Rhinolophus ferrumequinum: one gene and its partners. The protein of the gene in region 4 interacts with the protein of the main gene of each other region in a pairwise test. Links are inferred from orthologs where the notes say so. Each region holds a gene or a part of one and is shown on either strand. Other genes may lie near its edges. The genes, in order: SNX22, BAHD1, KAT7 and DVL3.

Region 1 (7,609 bases), on a different chromosome or scaffold from region 4:
ACTTTAAAAGCATGATGTCAGTTAATCCACACAACTCTCCCCGGTACAGATAAGGACCCTGAGGCACAAGGTGTCGTCCAACGTTGCCCAGGTAACCAGAGCAGTCCTGGGTGGAGCAGTCCAGGCCCAGCAGTCCAGTTACTGGGGGGAGGCGGGGCTGGGCTCCCTCTGGGGCCAGTCTGCCTCTGGCCACCCGCCTGGAGAAAAGAATCCAGCCTCTGTGCCCAGCAGCGCCCGCCAGCCCAAGGCCCAGGAGCTGTTTGTTTTCTTAACAGGGTTAACCAAACCTCCTGAGCAGCTGCGCAGCCCAGCAGAAGTGGTTCTAGTGTGAAAGGGGCTTTGTGTGATGGTGGCAGAGGGCGAGGGCCCAAGCCAGAGTGGGAACCAAGGTCCAACCCACCGGCCTGCCACCCCACTACCAGCCACCACCCCCAGTGGGAGTATGTCAGGGGGACACCGTCCCCAGTCCTTCCTGCCCTCTGCTTAGGCCTTCTCTCTTAGGATTCTCATCTCTAGGTGCCAAGTCTGCACAGTGGGGCGAGAGTGGCCCCACTCCCTGGCGGGGCTGTTTGGGGAGTCGAGAGACCTGCGTCTACAATGTGGTACCCAACTAGGGGCATTGGCATCACTGGGGCACTTGTGAGAAGCACACATGTGAGGCTCCACATTCAGAAAATGGGTCAGGGCCCTCTAACCCTCCGAGACTTAACCGGCCATGTTGGTGATGCTGCTGCTTGCTGAAGTTCAAGAACCACTGTTCTATCATCCGACCCTTATATACCCTGGCCAAGAAAATGTGACCAACCAGTACTTTTAACCAACTTTCACCGAGAAGCCTGGACGTTAAATTTGTATGTTGAAGAGTGATGGAGGAAAGACAAGAATTTATACAGTAAAACAACTCATTCTGAAAATGGAAGTCACTTTGAAGAGCCTGGAACTTACCTCAGTGTTCACATACTGAATGGGGGGGCGATGCTTAAAGTGTATAGAAAATAAACTTTACCTCTGACTGTAACCGCTGCTGTGGGGTATCCACCATGTCATGTGTTCCTCCTTTCAGGAAAGTATTCTCCATAACTTGTTCTATCTCCCCAAAGACATCTAAAATGTCTCCAGGTCAAGAATCTGGTTTTTCTTCATTGATCTTCACTCGTTTATCATGGAATGCTGTGGCATTTTTCAAGTCAATTGCATCAAATTTCCCTCCACAACTGGTGATGAAAATCCATTATTGATTTGACGCTTCTCAGGAACACTGGAAAATTAAGCAAATGAGTAAGGTGAAGAACAATCTGGAGAGAGAGAGAGAGAGAGAGAGAGAGAGAGAGAGAGAGAGAGAGAGAGAGAGGGAACTCTGAAGGTGGGAAGAGTATTCCTGTTGTTATCCCGCCTTCCTCTAACCCTCCGGCAACCCCTGCTCCCTTCCTCTCTCCCAGTCTTCCCTCCTCTCCCTAGCCTTTTCCCACCTCCCTCCCCCATTCATTGATATAGTCTTTCAACCACAAATGTATTCTTTGTGTCTACTACATGCCCTGCACCATGGCGGTAGCCACTGAGAAGACACACCAGGTCCTGGCCTGATGTCGCTCAGAGTCTGGGGCAGAGTCAAGGAAACCAAGGAGACACAATAAACAGACATAACTACACATTGGAATGAGGTGATATGATAGGGTGGTCAGAAAGGAAGGCCTCTTTGAGGAGTTGAGATTTATGCTAAGAATTGGAAGTTTTAGGCTAAGCTTACCAGGTAGAGTCGGAAAAGTGTTCCAGGGAGAGGAACCATCATATACAAAGGTCCTGAGACGGGAAAAAGCTCATTAGGTTTGAAGAACTGGAAGAAGGTCATTGTGGCCGGAGCTTGGTGCGTGGAGGGGGAGGACAGGAGGTGAGACGAGAAATGGAGGCTGGGCGGGGTCATTTAGAGTACTGTAGAGTGTGGTAGGGAGAGTGGGTTTCGTTCTAAGTGCTGTGGGAAGCCTTTGGAAGGTGTTACGCAGACGCCTTGATGACAGTTTCCGCTGTTAGATAGAATGGACTTTGTCTGAAGGAGGGAGGCCTGGAAAGACAGGGAGATCCCTTTGGAGACTAGCAGTTTTCTGGATGGTAGGAATAGAGACAAAGGGGCAGACAGTCGTTAGCATGGATGACCAAGAAGTTTAGAAGTCTGGGGGTCCCAGGAGAGGACTCCCTGGGCAGTAAGACAAGCAGAGCAAAGTCCCTGAATGATGGAGGCCCTGGAGTGTAAGGGGTGAAATGAAACCCCAGCACTTCTCCTCATGGTGGGTCATTTCCCTTCCAAAGAGGTTCAGCTTCCTCATTCTAGGGCACTTGTGAGGATGGAATTGGAGGAAAGAAAGTGTGGGACATAGTATTGATAAGACCTGCTTTTCTCCTTTTTCCCATCTTTCTTCCGCCTCCCCTCCACACACTGCAGTTCAAGCCGTTGTTTCTCAGTCTAGTTGTGTAGGACACAGCTCCCTGGCCCACCTGGTATTATGAGCTTTGCGCTCACGTCAGCTGAGGCAGTCGGTCACCAGTCGTAGGTCAGCAGCTCACGGCAGCTCTCATTGGCTGCCGGCGCTCATGATGGCTGCCGACCACTCATGGCAGCACACGGCAGCACACAGCAGCTCACGCCAACTTCCGGCTGCTCATGCCAACTTCCGGCTGCTCACGGCAGCCCAGCTCCACGGAGAGCTGTTATTCACAATCTTAGCTGTAGAGGGCGCAGCTCACTGGCTCAGGTGGGAATTGAACCACAGACCTCAGCGTTAAGAGCATGGCGCTCCAACCACGTGGGCCACGGGGCCAGCCCCCCCTTTTCTCCTCTTGGGATCATTCTCTCAGCCTCTCTTGGGGGCAGGGCTGGGAATGGGAATGGAGAATTTCTGCTCCAGATCAGAAGCACCGCTGCACTAGCAATGCATGGAGTGAGTGGTTCCCCAACCTCACCCCCTAAGACAGGTACTCTGCTTCTTCCTTCTCACCACAGACATCCCACTAGGTGTGAGCTCTTGGAGGCAGGGCCTCCCTTCCCTTTACCACCTGCCTAGGCCTTTGTGGGAGAAGTCAGTGGCGTGGACTCTGCTGAATGAGACAACTCCCTTATGGCTGAGGGGTGGGAGCAGAGGCCCTTTCTAGAACAGGGGGTGAGAGAGTTATAGATTGAGTCCTGCCCCATACCCAGGAAGACCCTGCCCAAAGGGATGGGCAAGAACAGCCTAGTGCCACCTTCCACAGGCCCTCTTCCCCATCCATTGCCCTGTACACCAATACCACCCACCTGTGCCTCTAGGACAAGCCCACAAGCTGCCATTTTCTTAACACCTACTTTGCTGAGGGCTTAACAGGGATCATCTCACTTAATTTTCAGGCACTCTCCCCAGAGAGGTATATTATCCCAATTTTGCAGATGAGCACAGGTCTACAATTTGGGAAATCCAAGTTGTCTGACCCCCAAAGAAGAGCCTAGGTTGTGAAACCGCCTCTTGCTGGCAAACTGGGCCTGAAGCAGGTTAGGGCTGAAAGATGAAGGAATGGATTAAAAGAATGAATGAATGAAGGGGCTTGTGGATGCTGGGAGAGGGGAGACATCATAACCAGACGGGGTTCCAAGGCTTACCCAGGCTCAGCCACCCTCTCAGGGTCCAGGTTGAAGGTGGAGGGAAAAGGGTGGGAAGCAGCCTGGTCCCGGGGAAGGGCGTGAGGAACAGAAGGAACGTTCCTGATTGGCTCTGAAGGTAGGCGCCAAGGTCTGGGCCCCGAATCCTCCATGCCTAGCGCGCACGGGCTTTAGTCTTTGGTAGACACTCAACAAAGACCAGGGGAAATTTTGGCTCGCCCGCGTTCCTCACAGTCAGTGGGCGCTCAGTTAATGTTGACAAACACATGCCTCTCCACCGAAGGGTCCCCACCCGCACTGCGGCCCCACCAGGCTCAGGGGACAGCTCTCAGTTCCCGCCACCCTGCGCGCTGCCTAATCTGCCCCTAGCAGGACTCCGCGCGCGAGGGAACGCCCGGGGCTTGGCCATCTGGGGGCGGGGCCTTTGAGTCCGAAGGGGCGGGGCCGCCCCCTTCAGGGTCTCTCCGCTGCTCTTGGAGAGTTCGGGCTCTCAGCTCTGCTTGAGGAGCTGAGGGCGGGGGCGGGGGCGCGGATGCTGGAAGTTCACATCCCGTCGGTGGGGCCGGAGGCCGAGGCACCCAAGCAGAGCCCAGAGAAAGGCCACATGGTGAGCGGGGGCACTGGATGGGAAGGGGTGCAGGGACCGCCGGATTTCCCTGAGCCGAGCGCAGTGGGGACCCCGCGCCCCGGGCTGGGGCGTCCGAGCGCTGCCGCCGAGGCCGTCGGGGGACAGCCAGCCGAAGATCTCGGGGCGCTAGAATTTGCCAGCCCCACGGGCGACGATGCGGGCTCATGAGGGACTGCACCGAGCGGAGGGCGGATTCTCTCGTCCTTTCCACATAAAGTGTGAGGAGCGTGGGAGGGTCCCCGGGGAGCGGCGGCGCTCCGAGGCTGCTTTGTGCCTTTAAGCGCGGGAGGGTGGGCGGGCGCCTAGCCTCACGCGCATCCGCCTGCCGGCCCGCGCCTGCCAGGTGTTCCGAGTGGAGGTGCGGTACTGCGGACGCAGACACACGGTGCCCAGGCGCTACAGCGAGTTCCACGCGCTGCACAAGCGGGTGAGGCGGCACCGCCGACCGACCGACCCCGGCCCGGCTCCTGCCCAGCCCAGGGAGGAGGGCAGACGAGCTGCGGCCTCAGCCTCTGCCACCCCCGTTACTGCACCAGTCCCTGGAGGGTATTCAGGTCCTGGGCACTGAACTCCCCACGGGCTGCGGGGTGGACACAGAGGGGCAGGTTCCGGCCGGTACTGCCCATGCCCCTGCGCGGCCGGCCCACCCTCGGGCATCTGCTGGGGTAGAGAGACTGGGTCCCCTGCCCCAGCCACCACTCACCCGGGACTGTTCCGGGTAGAGCCTGGAGTTGTGGGTGAGGGGAGGGGAGACAGGCTGGGGAAGGCTCTCGCAGGGATGGAGTGAGCCTGAGGGCTCAGTGGGGACACTGGGATCGCCCCGCGGTAACCTCCTCGCAGATCAAGAAACTATACAAAGTGCCCGACTTCCCCTCGAAACGCCTGCCCCACTGGAGGACCAGAGGGTTGGAGCAGCGGCGGCAGAGTTTGGAGGCCTATATCCAGGTGGGCGTGGGTCTGACTCTCGTGCTCTCTAGCCCGCTGGACTAGAGGTGGGACCCAGCCAGCTGTGGGGGCATGGGGAGAGGGGTGCACATCTTGGGCATGTTTTTTAGTACCTCAAGCCTCAATTTTCTGAACAGTAATTTCGGAATTAATTGAAATTAGTTTAATTCTTGAACTTTCATGGAACTGGGACCACTTGCCTCCTAGTTACCTCATTCAATCTTAATTATGGAACTGGAAGCTAGTTCTCTTCCCTTCCAGGCTGAGATCTTGGCGCTGCCTTCATGAGGATGTAGAGTGGGTACCCTCCCCCCGACCCCCAAAGTGATGCCAGATTATAGGCCAGGCTGGCTCATGGGCATACACCTGTGTAGTCACTCGGCCCAGTGTCAGACGGGCCCCCAGCTTGGTTAATGAATGTTTTGCTCTGACTGTCTTGAAATTCTTAATCATTTTGGCAGAACCTCCGCGTTTTCATTTTGCACTGGGCTGTGTTTTGCAGCACATAGCTGGGTCAGATACAGGTTTCCTCTGTCCTCTTCTCCAGGGCGTCCTGTACCTGAACCAGGATGTGCCCAAGGAGCTACTTGAATTCCTGAGTCTTCGGCACTTTCCCACCGGCCCCAAGGCCAGCAGCTGGGGGTGAGAACCTCTAGGGGCCATGGCTTGGCGTGCGAGGGGCCCCAGCGTTGGGAGGACAGGGCTCTCTGCGGCAAGCAGAGGAACATTTTAGAGGCCAAGCCCTGTTCCTTCTTACACCTGCCAGGCCTGAGCCTGGTTCTTTTACTTTGAGACACGATCTCCCTCATCAGCTTTCTTGACCCTGGTGGAGGTGGTTTTCTGGATAGCCTTGGTTACCCCTGCTGCCTCTGGAAATTAGCTTTTTACAAAAAGAGGCAGTGGCCCCTGGGAGGTGAAGATCTGAACCCCCGGGCATCCCCAGCAGCTCACATCCTCTTTTCAGAACCCTGGGGGAGTTCCTGCCTAGCAACAGCAGGCAAGTCAAAGCCCCTACCCCTACCCGCTCCTGCTGCCCCCTGGTGGCCATTTGTCAGGAGGCTGGCCTGCTGCCAAAATGGCTCGTATTGTCTGTCCTGGTCCAGGTTTTCCTGTTGGTGCCTCCTGAGCCCACTGCCCTCTCACCTCGTTTCTTTTTGGGTCCTTGGTGATCTCAATTCCTAGTCTCCACCTAATAGGAGACTGCTCCACGTCCCTCTCCAATACTCCTGACCCTCTGTCCTAGAGTGCAGCTGCACCACCGGCCTGTCGTCCGCTTCTGCATGGATCCCTACATTTGCACCCCATCCCCAGGTGAGGTGGTGCTTCTGACCTATAACCCATATTTAGGGCACAGTTAGCAGGGCGGGAGTAGGGGTGAACTTGCCGTTTCTCAGCTCCCAGGACCTCCAGGCAGCTTCTCTCCTAATTGCCCTCCTTTGGGACCATACCTGCCCTGCTGCTCCTGTGCCCCCATAGCCTGCTTTGTATTCACCAGGGAGCAGACATGGTGAAATTAGCTTGGCTCCCCTGGTCTGCATTCCTTACCAGCCTGGCTTTACCAAGCTCATGTGAACAGAATGTGAACTGGGAATGCCCATGCCTCATTTTAGGTGACCAGCTGTTACCTGCTGCCTTGGCAGGGGCTCCTGCTCCCAAGTGGGGCTAAGCCTGGCTAGAGGCTCCGGAAGCTGCAGGCCTGAGGTCAGGACCATCCCACAGCGCCCTCCACTGCAGCCCCCTACACCTTCCTCCTGTTCTCCTTCTGCCACAGAGCCATTGCCCAGTGTGGTGGTGAATGGCGTGCTCCAGGGCTTCTACGGCTTCGGCACCAGCACAGCTGACGTCCAGCCAGAGGCTCCTTGTCACCCTGCACCCCTGCCATCGATGATGCCCTGACCAGCCCAGAGGCCTCTGGACCACCTGCCAGGACAGTCACGTGCCTCAGTCCTGTGAGCTCCATACCCAGGACTTACCCACCTCAGGCTCAGAACTCAGCTGCATTGGTGGCTGGGGGTGCTAGAACTCCTGTACCCCTGGAACCCTGGGGCCAGGGCAGGGAGGACAGGGTGAGGATTAAGGGAGAAGTCAATTTAGGAGGTAGGCTATGAAAGGGTACAGGTGTACTTCCTCACTAACACCAGAAGGGGGCAAGCAAAGGTTAAGGCACTGTAGTAGGCCAAGTTTAGAAGCAAGGAACAAAAGCTTCTGCTCGAAGTTTTGTGGGTAGCATCTGGGGAAAGGGTTCTGGCTGGAGCCCAGGGAGGGGACAGGCACCCCAGCCACAGGAGGCCCAGATAGGCTGGATTGTAGACCTGGGGGAGGTGCTGCAGGCCCAACAACCCACTCACACACAGGTTATAAAAAAACAAAACCCACCTTTTTTTTATTGGTCAGTGTTGGTAGGAATTTGT
Region 2 (7,733 bases), on a different chromosome or scaffold from region 4:
AGGGACACGCCGACTTGGGCAGAAAAGAGCCTTAAATGGGGTGTAGTCTGCAGTCGTTGGGGCTGTGGTGGAGGCAACTGGGGTAAGGGGCAGAGGGCACCCCAAGGGGAAGGCCTGGGGTCCCAAAGAGGGTGAGTCAGGAGTTGGGAGGGAGGTAAGGAGAATGCAGAAACAGCTTTTTTTCCGGGAGCGGCAGCCCGCAAAGACTTCCCCTGACCAGCAATCTGGAGGCTAGCACTGGACAGATAGGGTTTTGGACACTGCACGATGGACATGTGTTCCCCAAAGTCCCCCTTGTTACTTCTTATGAAGGTACTGGGCCCACACAGGCCCTGGCCTCACCTTGACCTCCCCCAGGCTATGGCAGCGGGTGCCATTAAAGGAGGAAGAGGTCCTGTGCTTTGCTGGGCATTCAACAGCTGGCTTCTTGGTTGCAGGAAGGGGCCTTGCCCCTCCAGTTCAGAGTTCCAGAAGAGCACTTCTGCCTCCCCCATCCCTAGGGAAGGGGCCCCAGAAGGTAAAGAACAAGCAAACGTCTGCACTTGCATTTGCCTGGGGGCAAATAATTTCTGGAGATCCCTTTAAGGAGGGGGTTCCGATCCCTTTAAGAAGGAGTGGGTCAGATAAAAGGACTATAAAAGTCCAGCTTTCATTATTTTCCCACCCCCGGGGGCTTCCTAGGATGGGGGAGGGGGCAAGTGCTGCAGCCGCATTTAATTGGTGCTTTGGTGTCCCTCCCCCAAGGAGCTGTGCCCTTCCGTTTGTCCAGTGGGGCTGAGAGGCCAGGTGGCTTAGTAAGTGTTCCTGGGTTCTAGAGTTCAGGCACTTTAAGGGGGCAGAGGAGCAGCTGCCCACACCTTGGAAAGATGGGACCAGGGCATAGAATGAAGAAAGGGGAAAGTGGTTACTGCCAACCACTGCAAGGACTGCGTTGCCCCGCTGGGGTGCCCTGCCTGGTGCCAGGTGGTTGGAACCGAGAAAGCAGTCTGCAGGGACTGCGGCGGGCAGTGGGGGAGGTGCCTGGTGGCCGAACTGGAGATGACGGAGCAGCCAGTCTGTCCCGGCTGTCAGTCTGGTCGTAGGTGGTGGGGGAGGGGTGTGCGGCGTGTTTTCTCGAAGCCCTGGATGTTTTCCTCTCTTGCATCTCCCTCTTTGCTCTGAGGCAGTTAACCCTTCCTGATGGGTCTACAGGCACCTGGATAGAGAGAGGCCCTTGCCTGGAGGCAGGGAGGGGATGGCCCTGGAGACCACATGTATCTATTCCTCTCTCCCGACCCAGCCACAAACCCTTTTCTGTGGGGGACCTCTGGGCTGCAGGGTGTGCCAGGTTGAAGCAGGGTGATGGGCCCCAGGCATTGACACAACTGCCCTGGTGGAGTGGAGTGGGGGCAGCACTTAGGGAAGGTTGGGGTAGAGTAGCTGTAGGAAGAAGAGGTGGAGCCCTTTCCAGGTGTACAAGGCTCTGGACTGGGAAGCAAGGTGGCCCAGTTGCAGAGGTCTCGAAATCGATCGGAGAGGAAAGGTCTTTTGGGGGATAGGCAGGGTTTGCAACCCAGGGCCTCTTTTTTGTTGGCTTGTTGACCAGCTCTAACAAAGGGGGAGGGGTAGGTCAGTGGGCTGGCATAGGAGGAACACCAAGTGCCTTTAGCCAGCCTGTGCCTCAGAACCTAGCCCACTCAGAGACTCCTGGGGCAAAGGAGACAGCCACCCACATCGGGGAGGAGGCTCTGAGGGTAGAATTCCTGCAGCTGCCAGGCAGGGCAAGCAGGGCAGGCTGGAATGGGCTCTCATGACCACTCTGCCTCCTCTCCAGGGTTTCCTTTTTTTCCCCCCTCCCACCAGGGCCCCATATAAAGACAGTTCTCTCCCCCACACCCCTCTCAACCCAGGACTGATGGATCTTCACTCCTAGATGCTGGGGGAAAGTCCAGTCCTCCAACCACACCCTGTGACCACTTCCTAGGCCAAGCACAGGCTCCCTGCCACTTGGGTCTCCTTCCCTGTAACTAGGTACATTTCTCTTCTGACCCTTTTGGCCTCAATCCCTGCCCATTAATGGGCATGAAGCCAAGGTCAGTGCATGCTGAGCTGCTGACAGGAACCCTGTCCCCACTTCTGTCTTGGCTCCAGGTTGCCAGTGGCCACTGCTGCTGTGACCCTCTACCACCAGTCTCTGATAGGGGGGTGGGGGACATCAGCCCATGGGACAGATTGGGAACAGCAGGAAGGGTGCATTTTGTGAAGTGGGGGGTAGGGCTGGCCTGGTGATGGTCGGGGGACTACTAGGAATCTTTGTCTTAGGAAGATCAGGGAGAGGAGAAATCTTTAGTGTCCTACTTTTATAGATTTGGGGATTTTGCTTTCCAGATGGGTGGGAGAAGTTGTGGCAGTTATCCTGGGAGAACTTGGCTCTTTGAGTTTCCCTGTCACTGTCTTAGCTTCCATTCACACACTGCCCCTGCTGGGTGACCCTCTCCTTTAAACATGTCCGTCAACACACCTAAAACTGTCCAGGGGTCCCTGACAGCTCTAGAGGCAGATGGGGAATCATCCTTTAGGGTTTTATTTCCCAGCCACAGGGGCTAGCAGCCCTGATTGTCTTAAAAGGCTGCCTACATGTGAGTGCTTGAGTCTCAAGGTCTAGGAAAGGCTAGACAGCATGTGGGGTGCAGGAAGAGCCTCTCAGCTACATTCCAAGACTGGGTTTCTCCTCCAGCCTAGGAAGCCCGTGCACTGGAGGTGCTTCTCTCTGCTGGAGGCAGTCCTCAGCCCAGCCCCTCCCTGGGCTGCTTCCAGCGCTCTGGTGACTTGACACTACCCTTTTTGCTGCTGCTCCTTTTACCTCCCAAAGCTCTCCTCCCCCACCTGAATCGGAAATGAGGCTTTGTTCTGGGGTGGACTCAGCATTTTTCAAGAACCTACTACGTGCATGCACATCCAGTGCTGGTTGGAGTGAAGCCCTATGCAGGCTGTGGCATTACAAGGTGCCCAAGACACAGCCCCTTCCTGCACCTCACAAGGACCTCCCACACCTCCGTGTGACCTCAGCCTGCTGTGCCCACCCACCCCGCTGACCCCGCGAGCAAGCTCGGGCTTGGAAAGGCACGTCTGTGGGTGTGAGACGGAGCCACAGCATTCGGGGACTAGCAGGAAGCCAGGTAAGTGTCCACGCTTGGTCCCATCCTGGCTTGGGGACGCGAGGGAGGGAGTCCAGCCTGGGCTGTCAGGCTGCCGCCCCCTCCCCCCGCACGCTCCCGGGGAGAGCTCTGATGTTCCCTGCGGTGGTGGAAGAGGGTATGTGGGTGTCAAGGACTCACAGACCAAGCTCTGCTGTCAGCTGGAAATGGATGAGGGTTCCACACTCTGCTTCTGAGAAGGGTGGATTAGGAGCTGGAGTTGGGGGCGGTAGGTGAAGGGGGAAAAGAGGAAAAAGAGATGCGGGCGAGGGGTTACCGAGCCAGGACCGACCTTGCTTGAAAGGAAAGGAGACGTGGCAGGCAGGGAAGTCGGAAAGATGAGGCAAGGGCGGGAGGGGCTTCTCAGCAGTCGGGGCCCTTTCGCTGGAGTCTGGGGCCCTTTCTGCAGAAAAGGGGGGTTGTCCTCGCTTGATTTTCGTCTGGTCTTCCCGAAGCTTTGCCCTGGGGGCAGCAGTCGCTGGCGATGGTGGGGGTGTTCCTTAGTCCGCAGTTTTCTCCAGTAGGTGCTAGGAAGGAGAAGGGGAAGAGGGATGTAGAGGGGTGACGGCCAGGGCGGCGGCAAGATAAGATTTCGAGGGGGGGTAGCAGCTGGGGGATTGGGGCTTCAGGGTCGGGTCACCATGGGATACGGGCTTAGGCTCTGCAGACGAAGAGAAAACCCAAGAAGCCGGCAAAGAAAACCACCACCCGCCACCACCCTTGGCACCATACCCCTCCCCCCAGGCCCCACCACTCCCCGCACCGCCTCCCCCAGCCGCCTCGTGCTGCCCCCTGCGTTGGGACGACCGACCCACGGTTCTGATTGGTCGGAGACTGGGAGGGGGAGCCGAGAACCGGATTGGCTGGCGGGGCCAGCGCAGGGCGGGGCGGCTGATTGGCGGAGCTGGACGAGAGGCGCTCCGCTGATTGGTTGGGGACGAGGAAGCAGGAAGGAGGGCGGCGGAGGCTCCGCTCTCGGGGAGTTTGTGGGGGAACCGCGAGCGGCGTAGCGGATCCCGGAGCCCGGCCCCCGCTGCCCGCCCGTCCGGCTGCCTGCCCCGCCCGTCCGGCCCCCGCCGTCCGCCCGCCCGGGCCAGGCGCGCCCGCCCCCCCGACGGCCCCGCCCGGTCGCGGCCCCCGCTCCGCCCGCCCGGCCCCGGCCCCCAGGAGGAGGCGCTGACGCAGCAGCGTGGAGCCCGGGAATTGAGCGCCCCCGGGGGGTTCCAGCCGCCGGATTCCAGCCCGGCCGGGGCCTGCGGGCGCCCAGAGCCGCGCCGTCCGCGCCGCCGTCCTGGTGAGCTAAGGGCCGGGGTCGAGGAGGGGGGAAGGGGCGAGCGGGCTGGAGGGACAGAGCGAACGACGGAGGCAGACGAATGAAGGGGAGAGGACCGGCCGCCCGTCAGCGCGCCCCACCGAGCGAGCCGCCGCCCCCGCCAGCCCGGGAAGGGACGGACGGACGACGCGAAGCAGGTGCGGCCGCCCGCTCGCTCGTTCGCGCCGCCCTCCTCCCCTAGGTCCGGCGCCACGGTCCCGCCATCGGGGAGCGCGGCACGCCTCGAGGTGACAGCCCCCCGGGGCCGCTCGCTTCGCTGGCCGGGGGCGGGGTGGGTGGCGGCCGCAGGGTGGCAGCTCGGCCGGGTGGCGGCGGCGCGGGCGTCCCGGGCCGCGGAGGGCGGGAGGACGCCGGTTGCTTCCTCGCAGCGGCGTAGCCGGCTCACCTCCGAGTGCGCGGGCGGCGAGGCCACGGCCCCCCCACTACTCCCCCCCGCCGCGCCCCCTCCCCCATCGCGGTCCCCGAGGCTAGGGGCCGAGGCCGGGGGCGGCGCCGCGGGATCGCCCGCTCAGGGTTGGGGGCGCCCTCCCGCGCTGGGAGCTGACCGGTTATTGCTGGATGGGGGGCTGGGGATGGGGGCCGCACTGAGGCGGGGGGTAGTGTAGACCGGACCGGATCGGGCTGAGAGGAAGGGAGGCGCCGAAGACGGAAGGGAAGCGGTTCGAGAAGCCAGTGTGGGCCGCGGGAGGCCCGGCGGGGACAGTGCAGAGCGGCGGCCGAGTCCGAGGTGGGGCGGGGGGAGTCGAAGTTGTCAGACCGCCTCCAAGTGACAGCGGGACCCCGTGCTCGCGGCCCGGCCTGGTCCTGCCCTGCCCGCTTCGCCGCCGGTCCTCTGGGGCCGGGGGCCGGGTCAGGTCGGGCCCGAGGGGCCCGCTTAGCGGTGAAGCGCCGGACAAAGGCGGCGCCGGAGCGGGCGCAGGTGGTGGCGTCGGGGAGGGGAGCCGGTCCGAGCCACCCACCCTGAGGGGCGGGCGACCGGGCCGGACTCTGCCCCGGGGACTGCGGGGGCCGGGGCGCCCGCCGAGAGGAGCTGCGGCACGGGTTCACCTCTCCAGTTGCCGATCGCCCCGAGGTTCTGGGAAGAGTGGGGGCGACCCGGCTAGGGTGGAGGGGCACAGGGGCAGAGGTGAGAGTGTGCACACGGAGGGCCTGGCTGGTGACGACCAGGTTGCCGAACTCACCAAGGCTACAGTCCGGTGAGCCACTCTAGAGCCTGCCAGGAGTGAGGGGTTTCAGCAAGCAGTTTGCCCACTGGCAGAGGTTTAATCTCACCTGGGATATCTCCTCGTTACCCATTGTCGACAGTTTTAAGAGGGCAGAGACCGGTTGGATTGGGAACTGGGAGACACCCCCTAATGTGTGTCAGCAATCTGTCCACAACTGCTCTCAGCACTTTTCTTTAGTTGAAGAAGGTCTCCACATAGGGAAATAAAATGAGTTTATAAATTCAGGCAAGAATCTAATGATTAAATAAAAAAGGTTTTCAGTCCTTTTCCTTTGTGCCACCTGAGAGACTTTCCTCTGTACCTTCCCCACCCCCATGTCTTCCGGAAAAAGGAGAAAACGACCCCATAGGGACCACATGTCCTGGAGGGACACTGCTGTCCTTGGCCAGCTGGAGGACACGTGGGAACCAGTGGCTTAAGCTGTGAGTGTCTTTAAACCCACCAGTGACCAGCTCTAAACTCGATGCAGTTGTCCCATTTGTAAAAACCCACTCAGAGTTCCCGATCCTCGTCATGTGAACCCATAGTAGAAGAATTGGGAGCACAAAGGCAGGGAGACTCTGGCTGTTTAGAATGTGGACTTTAGCTGATAACCTGGGTTGGAGTCCCACTTCAGGTAGGTGTTGGTTAAGAGCTTGGTTGGCTGTAATCTCGCTCTGGGAAAGCTGCCTCTCAGCCTTGCTTAGTATGGGCATTGAGTTCATTCATGGCCGCCCTCAATCCCCCTCCCCAGGAGGGTCTAGACCCCAGCCTGGGTGGAGTTGAGGCTTGTGGGAAAGAGAGTTATTACCTCATGCAGGAGACTAAAGTTTGTTCTTAGAGAATTTAATTGTATGTCTAAGATTCAGAGAATGATGAATCTCAAGGCCCTCCTGCCTTCACTGGGGCTACACAGTGTGTGATTAATTAGGTGGCAGTAAGGAGGTGACCTGGTCTGGCCACTGGAATATAAAGGGGAATTGCCAAAACAATGGTTTCCCTCTTTGACAGGCTCTTACCTGGCAGGAGTCTGTCAGTCAGATCAAGTGTTTAGGAGGGTTTGCTTTGGAGCATTTAGGCAGTGAAGAGGGTCTCGCCTTTATGTCTCTCCCTCCCTCCCTTTCCTTTCTGTTGCCTTACTGTCCCATGTCAGGCCTGTGTTGTTGTCATGCTCTCCCTCCCGCTCCTGCTTCCTCCGGTCCTTCTGATACAGTCTGTACACAGCTGCTAGATCATTCTTCTTAAAGCACTGTCACTCCCCACCCGCAAACTTGCAGTGGCTCTCCTTTTCCCGCAGTCTGACCTGAGACACATCCCCTCTGGCTCTCCTCTATCCATGCCATGCACATTTGTCTCCCTGCATCTTTGTTCCTGCTGCTTTCCCCAGTTGTCCCCCACGAGGAGCCCCTTGCTTTCCTCCCCTCCACCTGAACCCTACTCATCCTTCCTCTCACTGTCACTCGGGCCACTCCAGGCCAACATTGCTTGCCTCTGAGATTGTGACGCTGAATTTTACAACATGGTGTCTTGAGTAGTTCTGTAGGTTGGAAGTAGTTCTGTAGACGGGGGCAGTATCAATGTTAAACCTCTGTGTGTGGGGAGGAGGGTGTGAATGTTCTAGGGTTTCTGGTAGAGTGGTGTACACATTGTTTGTGTTAAATGAATGAATGCAGTGGGGAACAGAGGGGAAGCCTTCCCTTCCCCTTCCCCAGAAATCCTCAGTATGGAGTCCTTGGTGGTTTCCAGCCTTTTCTATCCAAGGTATATAGATAAGGCATGTTTGGGGTGCTTTAGCATGGGGAACAAATGAAATTTAGCTGTCAGAAATACCATCCTGATATACCATTCTTCACAGCTAGTGAAGAGTCTGTCCTGTGGATTGCTCACATGACACCATATAGACATGAATTGGAAAAGGGCTGTAATTCTGTTTCCCTCCTATCCCACCAAACCATTCTCTCCACCCGGCTTTGCTGCTCTTATGCAATTTTCCTTGTTGTCCATGTTAAATGAATCCAT
Region 3 (7,597 bases), on a different chromosome or scaffold from region 4:
CTGCCATAACAACGTCGTGTAACTATAACTACAGCCCTGGAGGGCTTTGGCCCTGTCAAATATGGAAAAAGATGTCTTCATCATACCACGGCTTTATGCAGATTGACTTCCCTTGGGAGCTTGGATCAGGGAAGGGAGGTAGATGGTGGAGGAAGGCGGGAGATGATGGGCAGGAATAGGAGAACAGCTACTGAATCAGGATCAGAGTGATTTTTTTTTTTTGAGCAATTTTCAAAATGCAGTTATTTGACTGTTTAGTTTTGGTGGTTATTTATAATCCCAGCTGCAGAGGCGGGGAGCTGTGCCTGAGCCTGCTGGGCTCTGTCCAACACCTTCCCCCAGGGTGGGGCTGGGGGTGCGTGGTGGATAAGAGTGATACCAGAACCAAATGAACAAGTGGCCAAGAAGGTAAGAGAAGTCCCAGGCCATATATGGCAAGAGTAAAAAAGGAAGGACCATTAGTGACCGTCATGACTATGTTGATGAAAAGATTTTACTATGAATTGTGGTCACATCAGCAACCTCTAAGAGTCTCCCAAAGGGATAAAGACTACACCCATACGTGTACTCAGAAGTTACGAGATTGGCCTGGCTACTCTAGCTTTGTCTTAAAAAGGTCAAGGCATGCGTGCCCACCTTACAGGACAGTTAGTTATCCGTCCACAGGGAAACTGTTGTTCCTAACTCCCCCTAGGCACATAGTCAAAAAGAGGCTTAGAGGAGAGATGATGGCTGGTTCTGTGCAAGTCTTTCCTAACTGAGCCAACACGTGGCAGTGGCCACCCCATTTACTGAGCCCTTTTAGATGCCAGGCTGCGAGACTGAAGTTGGAGACAGTGTGGCCAGCCAGGCAAGGCTCCCAACCTCCATGAGCTCCCAGGCCTTTGAAGCAAACAATGAACAACTACACTTTTTATTTGAAATATGGGACCTATCATTTTACTGGCAAGGGGAGCATTTGAAAGGAAATTGAGGGATCTTTTAGGGAGTTCACAAATGTAACTGAGGAGACAAGATATAGTTACAAGAAAGAAAATGCACAAGGACATACCCAAAGGATTGGCCCCACTACCCTTGCCCTGTTCAGTTCTCCCTCCACTCCAGGGAATGTTATTATAGCAGCGTTGTAACCGGTCTCCTGGCCTCAGGACTCCCTGCCACTCTGTTCAGTATCCATCACGGCTTCCAGAAAGAGATCTTTGAAGTGCAAGTGTGATCGTGGGACTCCTCTGCTTAAAGTCCTTCAGCGATTCTCCATCACCTCCAGGCCAGGCTCCTTAGCAGGGCATTCAAGGCTCTGCATGAACTTGTTCCCCAAATCATTCCTGTCTCTTTTTTTGGCAACTCCACCATGCCGTTAGTCACTCGCACAACACACAATGCTGCTCTACTTCTCTGTGCTTTTACACATGCTGTTTCCTTTGCACAGAAAGCCCCTATTCTCCTTGTCCACTGGTAAACGTACTTGTCCTATAAAATCCCACTCTTATTTCACCTCTTCTATCAATCCTTTCCTAAACTCTCCAGTCAAAACACTCCACTCCCTCTTCTGCACCACTTCCGAAGCTTGCTCATCCTTCTGTTTTCCTATTAATAATACTCCATAGTGTTTTGGAACAAAGAGCTTACTGGCCTGGGGAAGCATGGTGTTTTGTCCTCAGTGGCGTGACTCAATGCCTGGTATACAATGCCTGGGTAATTATTCTGTGTCTCTTGAGCTGAAGTAGAACAGACAAAAGCAAAGAGCCATTGAGACCATATAAAGATATATTCACAAACATTACGATGTCATAGCCATGACTAGGGTGACTGGAATAATAAATATGAATAACAACGACCATTTCCTGAGCACTTACTTGGTAAGGAACTGTGCTTTACAACAATCATCTCCTTTAATCCTGGCGACAACCCTGTGAGGTGGCTATTAGTGTCTCCATGTCACAAATGAGAAAACTGAGGCACAGATAAATTTAAAAACTTGTCCAAGAGCAATGCAGATAGAAAGTGGCAGAGCTGAAATTCAAATCCAGGTCTGACATCAAAGCCCTGTACTGGACACTAGTAGAGCTGATGAATAAACAAATAGGAGTTCTATGTTCCTATTATTTGTCTGGGAGGGACAGAGGAGAACAGAAGAGCTACCAAATTGTATGAGAAAAAGTGTAAATGTAGCAGTAAGTGCAAAATACCATAGCATGCTCTACTACCTAGGAAATAATAAATCAGGACTTTCTGAAGAAAGTAAATTTTAAAGAAGGTTGGGAAACGTACCGAGGCAGGAAGAACAGCAGAGCTACCTATGTGAAGTCTGGCAGATGAGGATGGACAGAAGAGCACTGGTCAAAGCCTTTGAAACCAGTATCAGTTCCGGCTTCAAGAGTTAACTGTGTCATGACGAAAAGGACACTCGAAGTAAAGACTATGTTTGGTTCAAAAGAAGAAAGGAAGAAAGAAAATAGCTCTCAGGATTCCCCTTTCCCCATTCTAAATATATAGCTTTCATCTCAAGTCCACATTTTCCTTATATTTCTATCCTATTGGTGTTAGCTTTTTCACGCCGCCAGAGTGTACACGTTCCAAGGACAAGAATCATGTCTAAATGAAACTGTAAATTCTTTTACTGTTAGCTGCAGTTTTGAAAATCTAATGAAAGAGATTAACTAATGTCAAACATTTATAAGACTGGTATTTGTATGATGAATGGTTAAGTTAGGGTACGATCTTATTCTAAAATACTAAATTCACCATCTTTGAGTGCTATACATTCAGAGACTGTGAAACAGTAAACATTCTGATTGACCAGCAAGCACTTACTGTGGGTAGAGCATGGTGTGGGCACTATTAAGGATGGTAAGAAAGAACTGAGAAATGGTCTTAACGGGGTGGCCGGTTAGCTCAGTTGGTTAGAGTGTGGTGCTAGTAACACCAAGGTTGCCAGTTCGATCCCCACACGGGCCACTGTGAGCTGCGCCCTCCTTGAAAAAAAAAAGAAAAGAAATACTCTTAACATAAGAGCTCCTTACCACTAGTTGGGGAGCCAGACATCCAAGAATGAGCTCAGGAACACACCAGTGAGTGCAAAATAACAGTAATAGTGTGAAACTAAATGCTTAAGTACTGGGCGTGGGGGATACACAAACAAGCAACTCAAGCCTTTTTCAAATAAGTTCTTATGTGCAGTTCAACCTAAGTAGATTATTCGAAGGTATTTATACTAAACACTAAAAGCCGCCTGGGTTAAAACCTGCCTAGGATATCCCCAAGGAGAATGCTGGCTGAGGGCCTGGAACTCTAACTCTGTTTAGCACATCAATCAGATGTTTACCTCCTGCTGCTTTGTTCTTTAGCTCTGCATTTTGGGAAATCTCCATCTTAGTTGGCCTCAGGTGAAACCGGGGTCCAGGATCCTAACTTAATGACTGAGCTTGCCTGGATTTCACCCAGTTGCTCTTGGTCAAGCTTTGGTCCTTTCAAGGCTTTTCCTCCAACGAGTTTAAATCCTCAAAGCCTGCTCTCCACTTCCCTGCCTTTTCTTAAGGCTCTGCATCCAGCCTTACATCCTTAACCAGATTCTCCTTCTTGGGCCCTCTCAAAGCAGGCTCTATTATTATTATTTAAATACACATGCCTCTTTTAGCTTCAGCTTCACTAAAACTATTCCTTCTTCTTCTTACCTCCCCCAACTCCTGCCTCAAGCATCTGGATTTCCAGAGGCCATTTGGGCTAAATGGGGTTCATTGCTTCTTCGATTCTGGTACGGCACCCCACGCATCCACCTTCCGCGGGCCACCCAGGGCTCTCGAACCCATAAGAACTGGGGAAGGAGGTGGCCGCTCACCACAGAACTGGGAATTCTTTGGAGCTACAACTTCTGGAGAATGGTTCTGCCTCCTTCCGCGACGTGAACGACTTACTTGCTGTTCGCTAAGGGCAAGGACAATGTCTCCTCTACCAGACAAGAAACTTCCTGATGATGGACCCTATCCTTTTGTTCCTTTTACAAGGCCCCATTCCTACCACTTTGAGACACGGGGTGGTTCTTAAAATAGTTTCTTGTGCAAAATATCCCATCTCAACTTTGAGTTTATATGGTAAACGGAAACATCCTTTAGCTAATTGGGCAACGAAGGGGTTAAATCTCAACAACCTGATGAATTCTGGGGGTTTCCTGCCTCGATTTCAGAAATTAAAACAACCGGGAAGGGAAATTTTGCCCAAGGTAAAGATGAGAAGAGTTAACTTCAACTGTCAGGCTTCTGCCCCAAACAATAATGGCTACTCACGTCCACAAAGGGTGCCATTCCCCTAACTAGAAATGGCTGGCCCCCGTTTCTACTTTGTGCCCAATTCCAGCATGGCGCTCACTAGCCTCACCAGAAGGAGCGAACTTCCCAGCACCCATCTGGCCCGTAACGTCAGGTGACGTGAGCCTCAGCCGGAAGTGAAGGAAAAAGCGCCTCAGCCCGCGGCGCCTGCGCAGAAAGCTCTAGACGCTGTGAAGCAGGAGGCACTTGGGATCGTCCGCAGGATTGGGCCTGCTACCGTGGCCGCCACGGAGCCCGCCGGAGCCACCGTTCCTACTGCTGCTGCCGCCGCTGCCCGAATCGGAACCGTCGGGCCGCAGCCGCCGGCAATGCCGCGAAGGAAGGTAAGAACGGGACAGGAGGGATGGCGGGTTTCTAAGGACAGTCGACTGGGCAACGTGACGCAGTTGGCCACGCCTCACACTCCTTGGGTTCCAACTTCCCGCTCCCCGGAACCTAGCTTGGCAACCCTCTCTTCTGTCCATACCCAACAGAAAAATGTGGGCCCGACCCTGGCCTCGGCCTGTGCTTGCAACTATTCCCGCCCTCTGCTTGCCTGGCTCGGAGGCGTTCTTCTCGTTAATTGGTCGCTGAAACGTCTAGAAGCATATTGATTGGCTGATGACACCGCCCATTTGGGCCCAACGGTCACCTCCCCGCGTGCGGGGGCGGTGTCTGGGCCAGGCTGTTCGACTTTCAGACTGGCTGTAGAGAGCGATCTCTCCTCTCTTGATTGGCTGGGCTTGGCAGTCTGTCCCGTGGGGGCGCGGTTTAGCGGGACCACTATTGGATGGCACGAATCCACGCCCTTCTGGCTGCTGATGCTGATAGGTGGAGAGGCGGAGTTTGGGAGCATTCTTTTTTTTTTTTCCGGGCGGGGGGCATAACAAAGCAGAAGAGTGGGTGGCAAAGAACCAGCGCCCACTCCCAAGGGATCCCACTCTGTCCTATTGCATCTAAGCCGTAATTTTTGCTTATTTGCTTAGTTGGACAGGCCCTAGAAAATGCAGTTAGTAAATTCAGAAACTTATACCGGACTTATGAGATCTCTTTGGGACACCCCCATCTCTTTGCCGCTGAACAAACAGGCCTACTGGAGTGTCCCAAGCCACTCATTTAGGCGGTGGCAGAGCCAGCACTGCAGAACAGATTCAATTCAGCAAATGTTTATTGACTACTTGCAGTGTTCTGGTTGCTGGGGGTTCAGAAATTAATTAGACATGATCCCTGGCTTAAGGAAATCACAGTCTGATGGGGGAAAACAAGATCCAGTAAATTCTCTACTTAGAAGTATATGTACAAAGAGTTAGGGGAGGGAAGTGAGGGAGTAAGTCAGTCTGCTCTGGAGTAAGATGGGAAGTAGATTGGTGGAAGCTGAAGAGAAGAGCTGAGTTCCAGGATGGAGCCAGGAAGGGATGGTCAGAGATAATCAGGGATTCAAGTATCTGGGTAATTGGACTAGATGACCTTTAACCCCCCCCTTCTTCCTCTGGATGTTCTGTGATGTCCATTCATTTCTGGGCAGATTACCCTTGAACTATTTGGAAAGCTGGGTAGTATTCTTGCTCATTTCTGCAGAAATATTTATTTTCACAGAGGCTTTCAAATAAAATATATTTTTTAATGTCTTCTAAAATGACCTACATTGCTAGGTGGTGCTTATGTTAAGGCTCACCAAATGCAGGAATAGTATTGGTGCCTTGCTTGGAATAGGTCCACAGTCCCCCCCCCCCCCCCCCCCCCCCGCAAATACAAAGAACTCTTGAAAATGGAAGTTTTTTTGTAACTTATTTGGTGGCAAAACCTGTCCTAAACTGTCCGGAGGCTACTTATATTTTTTGTGGGTCTCCTTGGTAGTGTGATTATATATTTTCCTGCAGGAATACTAATGTGTTTAATTATGGGCTGTTATTTGCAGGATATATGCAAAGTATTGTCTTTCCAAAAATCTAAAAAATAATGAAATTCTAAATAAAGTCCTAAGGTTTTTGAATAAAGAATAGGAGACTTGTAATCTGAAGCTCTGTATTGTTTTTTTTAGCAAATAAGCTTTCCTTTCTGGTTTAGTGTTAACGCTCAATTGATAAAAACTGTGCTTATGGCTAATCATGCCTAAGGAAGCTAAAAATCCTCTTTCTGAATGCCTACAAGTCTTTGTGTACAAGCTGCCTTTTTTGTTTTTATTTTTGTAAGCACCTTTGGCACTCGTGGAGAAACTTCAAATATAGATAACATAAGAAAGAAGAATTTTATTCTTTTTATGCTTAAGTTCTTTTGGGATCAGAGTTGTGACCATGATATTTTGAATCAGTGTATATGGCTTTTTAAAATGTGATGACTGTTCATGGAGACTTTGAACCAGAGCTACCCTAAAGTTAAATGGGGTCTAACATTTTTCTCAGTACCTTGGACTTTCTGTAAGTCCATAGTTATGGCAGCCATACCTTTTTGAATTGGGTACATTTGTTTCCAGTTTGTAATACTGACCTCCAAATAGACTTGTTTTAGAATTAAATTTGTCTTAATACAGCAAGAGTTAATTCTCCTTCATTTATTTAATAAAGGTACGTTATTTCTAGGTTGTTCCACTTAAATGCTCTAAATAACAGGAAGTTGGCTGTGGAATCCTTTTTTAGGTTTGAAGTTGGTGTTTTTGGCATCACAGTTCGTTTTATTTCCAGTGTTAATATAAACCCACAGAGTAAATGCTTCTGTGCTAATGTCTGGATCTATGGTGTTACAGAGGAATGCAGGCAGTAGTTCAGATGGAACCGAAGATTCCGATTTTTCTACAGATCTCGAGCACACAGACAGTTCAGAGAGTGATGGCACATCCCGGCGATCTGCCCGCGTCACCCGCTCCTCAGCCCGGCTGAGCCAGAGTTCTCAAGGTAAAGGCTTCCTTCTTACTGACTATGTCTCACAACTCACTGACTGGTCATCATATTGTGCTGGTTAATGTGGAAACTGGTCCCTTGGCTTGATGTAGTGACAGAATCTGGTAAAATGCAAAGGAAATGACTGCAGAAGTGTCAGGTCTTTAAAAATGGTCCCGTTGGGGTTGCTGTCCATTTTGTAGACCCAAAGGAACTATGTCTGGTATAATGGATGTATGATACATTGTATGTCTGTCTTGAGTCATTTAATTTTTTTTTTTTAGATGTTATCTTTTCCTTTTGTTAGAATGGTTTAGACTTAGGGACTTAAAGTAGTCCCTTGAACTCATTATTGGAGGGGGCCCAGTACTTGTAAAACCAAATGTTTAAGGCTGTAATATAGTCAGATACGCAATT
Region 4 (7,514 bases):
GTGGCAAATTAAACACATGGGTTTTTTTACTCCCTCCAAAACCCCATTCATATGCCACTAAAGGATACTTTTAAAAGGCATGTGACTCGATAAGGAAAACTAGGTGATGACAATGAATGAGAGATATCAACATTCTGGAAAATGAAAAATGGAAGAGTTGACTTAGCAGAGCAGAAGGAAATGGATTCTACCTACTGGGATGGCTATTAACAAGCAAACCAACATGACTTTCTGAACCCAGAAAAGGCTCAGCAGAAGAGGGTAAAGACGGTCTAAGAACAGGCATCGAGTGGAGGGGATTCAGACAAAGACCTCTATAAGAAAAAGCCCCCCCAACCCCCACCTTATATAATCCAGCAGGGTGACTACCCCTACTTCTCCTCCGCAAGAAATGGGAGATTTAGCCTTTGGAGAAACGGTGGGGAGGAAATTATCAAAGAAATACAAAGGTTTCCTAAACCCAAAGATCATGAGTTTCCAGACTGACAGAGCCCATGAGTGCCCAGCATAATGAATGATATTCAGAACCTCATGATATTCCAGAACCTCAGGGGAAATGTAAATTATTAGAGCTTCTAGACTTAACAACAGACATGGTGGGGATGGGGGTGAGGAGCTAGGTTGAAAATGAAGGATTAAGTGGAAGTATATGAGTGGTAGGGCTCTAAATATCAGCACACATTGATTTATATCCCCAGGCAAAAGCAAACAACAACTACAGAAAAAGCCTACAAATACATTTTTTGTTTCCTCGAAAAAAGCGATCTTTCCCCCACTTGATCACCCTACAGTAAACCTGTTAGATAATAAGCCTTGTACATGAACAGCTCCCAGTCAGCTTTCTGGTATCTCTTAAATGTGAATGGACGGCCAAGGGCCATCAAATATTTGAGGAAACTTCCAGTGTGGAAGGCAGAGACCAAAAAATTGACACCAAGGAAACTGACAAGACGGAGCTTTTTTGAAAACTTGGTGCGGCCTGGGGGGAAGCTATTTTCAAAATTCAAAGAGGAAAAATACTGTGTCTATGAAGAAAGTGTTATAAAAAGGAAGAATTGGAGAACAAAAAAAGTTCTTAGAAATTAAAAATAAATGAATTGTTTCCTTCTGCTGAGAACTGGAGAACCAGAGAACCAAACAGGAAGGAGACTCTCCATCCTTACACACTTCTTGAATTTTCAATTATGAATATTTTACCTATCCAATTGGATAGGGGGAAGGTTGGAAATAATATTAAGGAGATCTTGCAAAAAGGTGAAATCATTTTAAAATAGGAATGGATGATAAAGGAGAAAATAAAATTAAGGATCAATCCTGAAGGTCCAACATCTAACAGTTGCAGAAGCAATGGGGGAAATGGTAGTCATGTTATTAAGTAATTCAAGAAGATATGGTTGAATTTCTAGATGGAAAGAGTGCCTAGCACAGTGAATAAGCACCAAGGCATGTCACCATGGAGTTTCAGAACCCAAGGATAAAGAGAACTTCCTAAAGACTTCCAGGGAATTCAAAACAAATCGTGTTCAAAGGCTTAGGATAATAAAGAGACGAAACTGATCACTTCATAGCAACACTGGAAGCTAGAAGACAGTGGTGCCTTCAAAATTCTGAAGATAAATTCTGAACCTTCAAAATTCTGAAGATAAATTACTTTTAACTCAATCATTTTCAGATTTGCAAGTTCTCAAAAATTTTATTTCCCATGCTTTCAAGGGAAGCTACCGAGAATGTGCTTTCCTAAAGCAAAGGAGTAAAGTATCTAGGAAATGAGGAACCAACATGCAGAAGTAAAGGAAATTTTAAGTATGATACAGAGAAGTGGCTGCTGTGCACAAGCAAAGATAGTCAACAGTGCAGATTAGAGCAACAGAATTGAAGGCTCCAGGGAAGAAAATGGATAGATTATCTAATATACAGACATACCTCATTTTATTGAACTTCACTTTATTGCATTTCAAGATCATTCTGGGTTTGGTTTTTTTTTTTTTTTACAAATTGAAGGTTTGTGGCAACCCTGCATCAAGCAAGTCTATTGGTGCCATTTTTTTCAACAGGATTAGATAATGGTTAGCACTTTTTAGCAATAAAGTATGTTTTGATTAAGGTATCTACAGTGTTTTTTTAAGACATAATGCTATTGCACACTTAACAGACTACAGTATAGTATAAACATATCTTTTTTATGCACTGGGAAACCCAAAAATTTGTGTGACTATTGTGATATTTGCTTTATGGTGGTCTGGAATCAAACCCGCAGTATCTCTGACATATGCCTGTATTTGACTGAGCTAACAAAATATGTATTGAGAAACTATTAGATTATGTGGAAAGAATAGATAGATACACTATATTACATAAAAAGCAAAGCAAATGAAAAGGCAAGGCAATGGTTAATGACGAGAAACAAGTTGTAAAGGAAGCATTTATTCATAGTCAAAATGTCAATACTAAGTACTATATTGACTTTAAAAAAGTGGGATTTTACTATTTTAAGAGGTTAGGGGGAGGTGGAAGAAAAAGAAATCCATCAGTCAAGATTGGAAATCAATAAGCGATGTCTAGAATGCATAATTCAAGAGATAGTATAAACTAAAAAAGTATACTGGGGTGGGGAGGGAAATGGGACAGAGGACAGCTGTTAAAAACTTTCCTAATACTATTTGACTATGCACACATACTGCTTTGGTAAGAATTTAAAGTAAAGGGTATGAAATAAAAATATACATGTGTGCAGGGGCTAGCAAATAGTTTGATTTGCTGAAGTCAAAATTTTAGATAGGACATAATGAAATAAAAGGCCGCAAAGGTAGGTAGAGGTTAGATTATGGAGGGCTTTGGATATCATGATCAGGATATTTGGAAAGCATTAGGGAATGTGAAGAGGTTTCTGAGCTGAAGAGGTACTTACTGTTGAAATGCTTATTTGGCAACTGTACAAAATGGAGTGGGAGGAGCCCACACTTGTTGATGTGTGGACCTATGTGAGATGGTCCCAGTCTACCTTCCCAGACTGATCTAACACTATCCCTGGAGTCACAGCGGCCTTCCTCTGGTTCCTCAAATCTGGCAAGTTTATTTCTGCCTTGAGCCTTTAGACTTGTCTGTGCCCTCAGCCTGGAATGCTCTTCCCCCAGGCCAGACCTTATAGCTGCTTTCTCATTTGTTCTAGGACTTAGCTCAAATGGAAGAGGCCTTCTCTGACCACACATAATTCTCTTTCCCCTGTTACTATCACATCACTCTATTTTATCTTTTTCATAGCACTTGTCACTCTGAAGTTATTTATTTACAAGCCTCTTTCCAAATAAGTAAAGGTCCGGGGCAGCATTACCTGTCTTCTATTTGCTGTAGCTCATGCAGTATGCCTTGTACATAGTAGGCACTCAATATTTATTAAACAAATTTAAAGCTAAGGGGTAAGGGGATCTGTTAGAAATGATTATACCTACTTCTGGTTTGAGACTTACTGTCCCAGTAATGCACCCATCTTCATTCTTGCACTCGTTCTGCGTTCAATCCATTTATTAAACCACCACTGCGTTGCATCTAGGTACTGAGGTTATAAGAAGGAATCAGCACTCGATCCTATAGTGTCCTCAAGGAGCTCAATTTGGTAGACTCAATGATGGCTACTTATGCTTATTAACAGACCCTAAAGGTCCATGTCAAGATCACTTTCCCCAGTGGTACTTGGTCAGAAGCCCCATCCACCTACCTCTGGGGACCAAAGAGACCCCTGCATTACACCCCTTCCCAGCTGCGAGGAGCAACCGATCCCCTTGGGTCCAAAGCCTGGGCTTTGAAGAGTCCAGGAACGCAATCATCCTGGTGAGATCAATCCTTCCATCTCTGGGGCCCTGGGCGACCGCTGCCACGCTCTCGCCGGCCAGGGACCGGAGCGCAGGAGTCAGAGCTCGCCGCCCGGCGGGTGGGCGGGGTGTCCTGGGGGCCCGGCCGAGAGCCAGGCCATCTGCCGCGAGGCCAGCGCGGCTCGGCGGGGGCCGGGGGCGGGGCCGCGCCGGGGCGGGGTCGCGCCGGGGCCCGGGGAGGGGAGCGGGCCGGGCGACAGCCCAGAGCCGGGAGGGCCGCGGCCACCGGAAGAGTCGCCGTCGCCAGCGGAGCCGGGAGAGTGGGGAGCGGAAGCGGCGGCGGCGGCAGGGGCAGGCGGCGCTGGGACCCGGGAGCGGCCGGAGAACAAGGGAGCTGGCGCCGTGGCCGGCCGCGGAGCTGGGCTGAGCCACTGGGCCGCGCCGAGAGCCGCCGCCGCCGCCCGAGAGGCCCGGCCCGGCCGCCCGAGCAGGCCGTGCGCGGGCCGCCGGGCCAGAGGCCGGAGCCATGGGCGAGACCAAGATCATCTACCACCTGGACGGGCAGGAGACGCCGTACCTGGTGAAGCTGCCCCTGCCCGCCGAGCGCGTCACCTTGGCGGACTTTAAGGGCGTTCTGCAGAGACCCAGCTATAAGTTCTTCTTCAAGTCTATGGACGACGATTTCGGGTGAGGATGGCCCCCCGCCTCGCCTCCCGGGGAGCCCGTCCCCTTCGGCTTCTAGGGGCCACTCGGCCAGTTTGGACTTCCCTTGCGACACTGGCTTCGAGCCCTACTCAGGATTCTAGGAGGTGACTTGGCCATTTGGGCTCCTCTTGATTTTTTCAGATGCTGGAGTTCCAGCCTCTCTAGGGACTCTCCTTTCTCTCTTGTGAGGTACCTTGGCCTCCCTAGTTTAGGAGGACGTTCAACTCCCCAAGATAAATTAGAGTTCCAGCCCAGGAAGTCCCCTCACCTCTCAGAGACCAGCGGTCCACATAGACAGACACACCCCCACCCCTCCACCCAGTTCTAGAGCTCGAGTCCCCCATCCTTCTCCTGCCCAGGGAGCCACGTTTTTAGCACAGACTTGAGGAGTTTGGCACTCGGCCTTCGCTTTCTCCATCTTTTCAGCTCCACAGCTCCGAGCCATATTTGGAGTACCGTGCATCTCAGGGCTGTGCTGTGGGACTTTGAACTGGGGGGAGGGGGAGCGGGGGTGCTCAGGCGCTAGGCTGTAAGCTAAGGCCTGCAGACCTGATGTTTATTTAGCTGCCCCCCTTCCCTCGTGGGGTTGTGTGGGATGTTGTCAAGGGAGCCCCTGATGAGGAGTCCCCACTAGCCCAGATGTTGATTTCCCCTCAGAATTGGGGCCTTTTTCCTCCAGATGGTGGCCTTGGAAAGGGCCTCAGAGCCTGGGTGGGAGGGCCGGAAGAGTCTCTTGGCGTTCTTCATCTTCGCTCCCTGGCGGGGTCTTCTCCTCACTCAGCTGCAGGGCTTTGGACAGGCGGAGTTTGGAAGCAGCAACTTCCCCTTTAAGAGGGGATGGAATGTTGGAGCCGGAAGGTTCTGTAGCAGCTGGCCTGGGAGGGGGAGCCTGGCTTATCCCCTCACACCCCCCTCCAACTCCCAGGGTACTGGGGGAGGAGGAGGCCCCCATACTAACTGGGCGCTGGGCCTGGAGGCCTGTGGGGAAGGCCTGCCCCAGCCCTCCAGGCCTAAAGGCAGCCTCTCCAGCAATAGCCTGAGGCCTGCACTGCTCTTTGCAGCTGAGGCCCCAGAGCTGAGTGAGGGGAGACGTTCTTCTTCCCAGTGTTCATCAGTCTGGTTTCTCTCCCAGGACCTCAGCCCTCCTGGTATTAGGAAGCAAGCACCTTCTCTCCCCTCTGCCTGGCATGTTTTGCTGTCACTGTTCCCTCCCACCCCCCAACTCAGGGTTTGATGAGCCCATGAGCCCATATGTGTGAAATTGGTTTTACAGTAGGAAGTACTGTGCAGCTTCTAACTATTCTTGTTTCTGTTGTCATTCCTACCCTGGGGTACTTCTGGTGTTTAATGATTGTTTGGCTTCAGTCCAGAGACAGACACCGCTGATTAGAAGATTCCGAAGAGGGATCCATACGCAAAGGGTAGGAGTGAGGGGGCAGATGCCTTGGCCTGGTAAGAGAAGAATAGAGTTAGAAGAGACCAAGATACTTCCTCAGGATATGAGATAGGGGCAAATTAGCGAAGTCCAGTGCACCGGGCAGATCCCACTCCGCCAGGTTGCTGTCAGGCCAGGCCTAACTACAGTCATAGGAGGGCCCCCGTTACATCCGCTCACCGTTGACTTAATATTGTTCTTTAAATCTACTGTCAGCCCACTCACTCTTTCTTAGCTTGACCAAATCAATAATATGAAATCACAGGTCTGATTTTCTAATTATACTTCTTTCTAATATATGTTAAAAATAAATATTTACTATTGAATTACATGTTCATTCAGGTAACACCTGAACACATCTTGCATACATCACGTACTGAAACCATCCTTTGCAAAATATCAGAGTAGGCCATTTTAACAGGGTTGAGAACAATGCTAAAAATGAAGTGGAGGAGATTGATTTTGTTTTTCTCCCCAGAAGGATTAATGAGCAAGAGATCTAATAGGGTTATCTTATCACAGAAGACTAATAATAGAGGAATATATATATATATGTATTTAACAAACTCTTTTTATGGTGCTTACAGTGTACCAAGCACTGATCTAAATGCTTTCCAAATTTTTACTCATTTAATCCTCTTAAATAGCCCTATGAAATAGGTAGTAATATCCCCAGTTTATAGATGAGAAAACTAGAGCACAGAAAACTGAAATAACTTACCTAAGGTCACACAGTCTGGCTAGTTAGTGGCAGAGCTTGATTCCACATCAGGAATCTGGCTCCAACGTCTAAGGCTTTAATCACACAATTGTAGGTATTATTATTATCACCATTTTACAAACGCATCCTCTCTGGGGCAGATGCTGAGCCTCGGCACACGGTAGAGGTGATAGGGCTGCCACTTATCCTAGCCCCCTGAGAGGAGGGTCAGGCGGAGGCCAGTGGCCCCTGCTGACAGACGGGAAAGGGGGTCTGAGAAGGAAGGCTGCTGTCTCTCCAGGCTTATCCTCTGAGGTCCTGGTTTGCGAGGTTCTCCAAGTCCCATCTGGTCTCCAGAAGTATTTGTCAAGCTCAGGGTAGGCCCAACCCTCTTAAATGATTTGGGAAATAGAGGAAGAATAAACATTTTCAGCCCTGAGGAGAGGGTGGATGGGAGAACAAGGTACCCACGGCTAGAGTGGCCTCGAGCAGCTGGAGAGGGCAAGGTGGGAAGTTGGGTCACTCATTGTAGTATTTTTCCCTATTTATCTGTACACCTCCCCAGCTCCTAGCCAGGACGTGACACCTGAGTAACACTTAGCAGATGTCTGTCCAGTGACCGCTCTGACCACTTCCCACTTGCGGTATGCTTATGTGACTGTAACCTCTGAGAATAAAGCAGGCCCCAGGTCTGATGCTTCTTGAGGTTCATGCAATGGCTAGCACAGGGCTTAAAACTCGCTGGGATCTCAGCAAAGGCTTTTTCATTGCATGAGCGACGAATGATGAGCAGGTTTATTTGGTTCCTGCCCTTACAAACTTACACCTAGTTAGAAAGAGAGTATGGGTCCCACTAAAAATTGCC

Evidence for each region.
Region 1: the proteins of DVL3 (region 4) and SNX22 interact in binary tests that used the Homo sapiens proteins (3 or more experiments, as listed by UniProt). The two-hybrid records come from large-scale screens. The link is inferred for Rhinolophus ferrumequinum from reciprocal best matches to the Homo sapiens genes DVL3 and SNX22.
Region 2: the proteins of DVL3 (region 4) and BAHD1 interact in binary tests that used the Homo sapiens proteins (3 or more experiments, as listed by UniProt). The two-hybrid records come from large-scale screens. The link is inferred for Rhinolophus ferrumequinum from reciprocal best matches to the Homo sapiens genes DVL3 and BAHD1.
Region 3: the proteins of DVL3 (region 4) and KAT7 interact in a two-hybrid assay, tested with the Homo sapiens proteins (2 studies listed by BioGRID and IntAct). The two-hybrid records come from large-scale screens. The link is inferred for Rhinolophus ferrumequinum from reciprocal best matches to the Homo sapiens genes DVL3 and KAT7.

Annotation. Positions count from the first base shown.
Region 1 is NC_046289.1:46,348,709-46,356,317, reverse strand, and holds the start of SNX22 (sorting nexin-22), read left to right. Parts: upstream 1-4,098; 5' UTR 4,099-4,157; coding exon 4,158-4,232; intron 4,233-4,596; coding exon 4,597-4,680; intron 4,681-5,093; coding exon 5,094-5,198; intron 5,199-5,745; coding exon 5,746-5,840; intron 5,841-6,162; coding exon 6,163-6,195; intron 6,196-6,441; coding exon 6,442-6,509; intron 6,510-6,969; coding exon 6,970-7,094; 3' UTR 7,095-7,609. UniProt on the Homo sapiens protein: May be involved in several stages of intracellular trafficking. Interacts with membranes containing phosphatidylinositol 3-phosphate (PtdIns(3P)).
Region 2 is NC_046289.1:64,615,825-64,623,557, reverse strand, and holds the start of BAHD1 (bromo adjacent homology domain-containing 1 protein), read left to right. Parts: upstream 1-4,542; 5' UTR 4,543-4,549; coding exon 4,550-4,646; intron 4,647-7,733.
Region 3 is NC_046304.1:33,630,952-33,638,548, reverse strand, and holds the start of KAT7 (histone acetyltransferase KAT7), read left to right. Parts: upstream 1-4,442; 5' UTR 4,443-4,633; coding exon 4,634-4,648; intron 4,649-7,047; coding exon 7,048-7,195; intron 7,196-7,597. UniProt on the Homo sapiens protein: Catalytic subunit of histone acetyltransferase HBO1 complexes, which specifically mediate acetylation of histone H3 at 'Lys-14' (H3K14ac), thereby regulating various processes, such as gene transcription, protein ubiquitination, immune regulation, stem cell pluripotent and self-renewal maintenance and embryonic development.
Region 4 is NC_046285.1:60,962,517-60,970,030, reverse strand, and holds the start of DVL3 (segment polarity protein dishevelled homolog DVL-3), read left to right. Parts: upstream 1-4,126; 5' UTR 4,127-4,335; coding exon 4,336-4,496; intron 4,497-7,514. UniProt on the Homo sapiens protein: Involved in the signal transduction pathway mediated by multiple Wnt genes.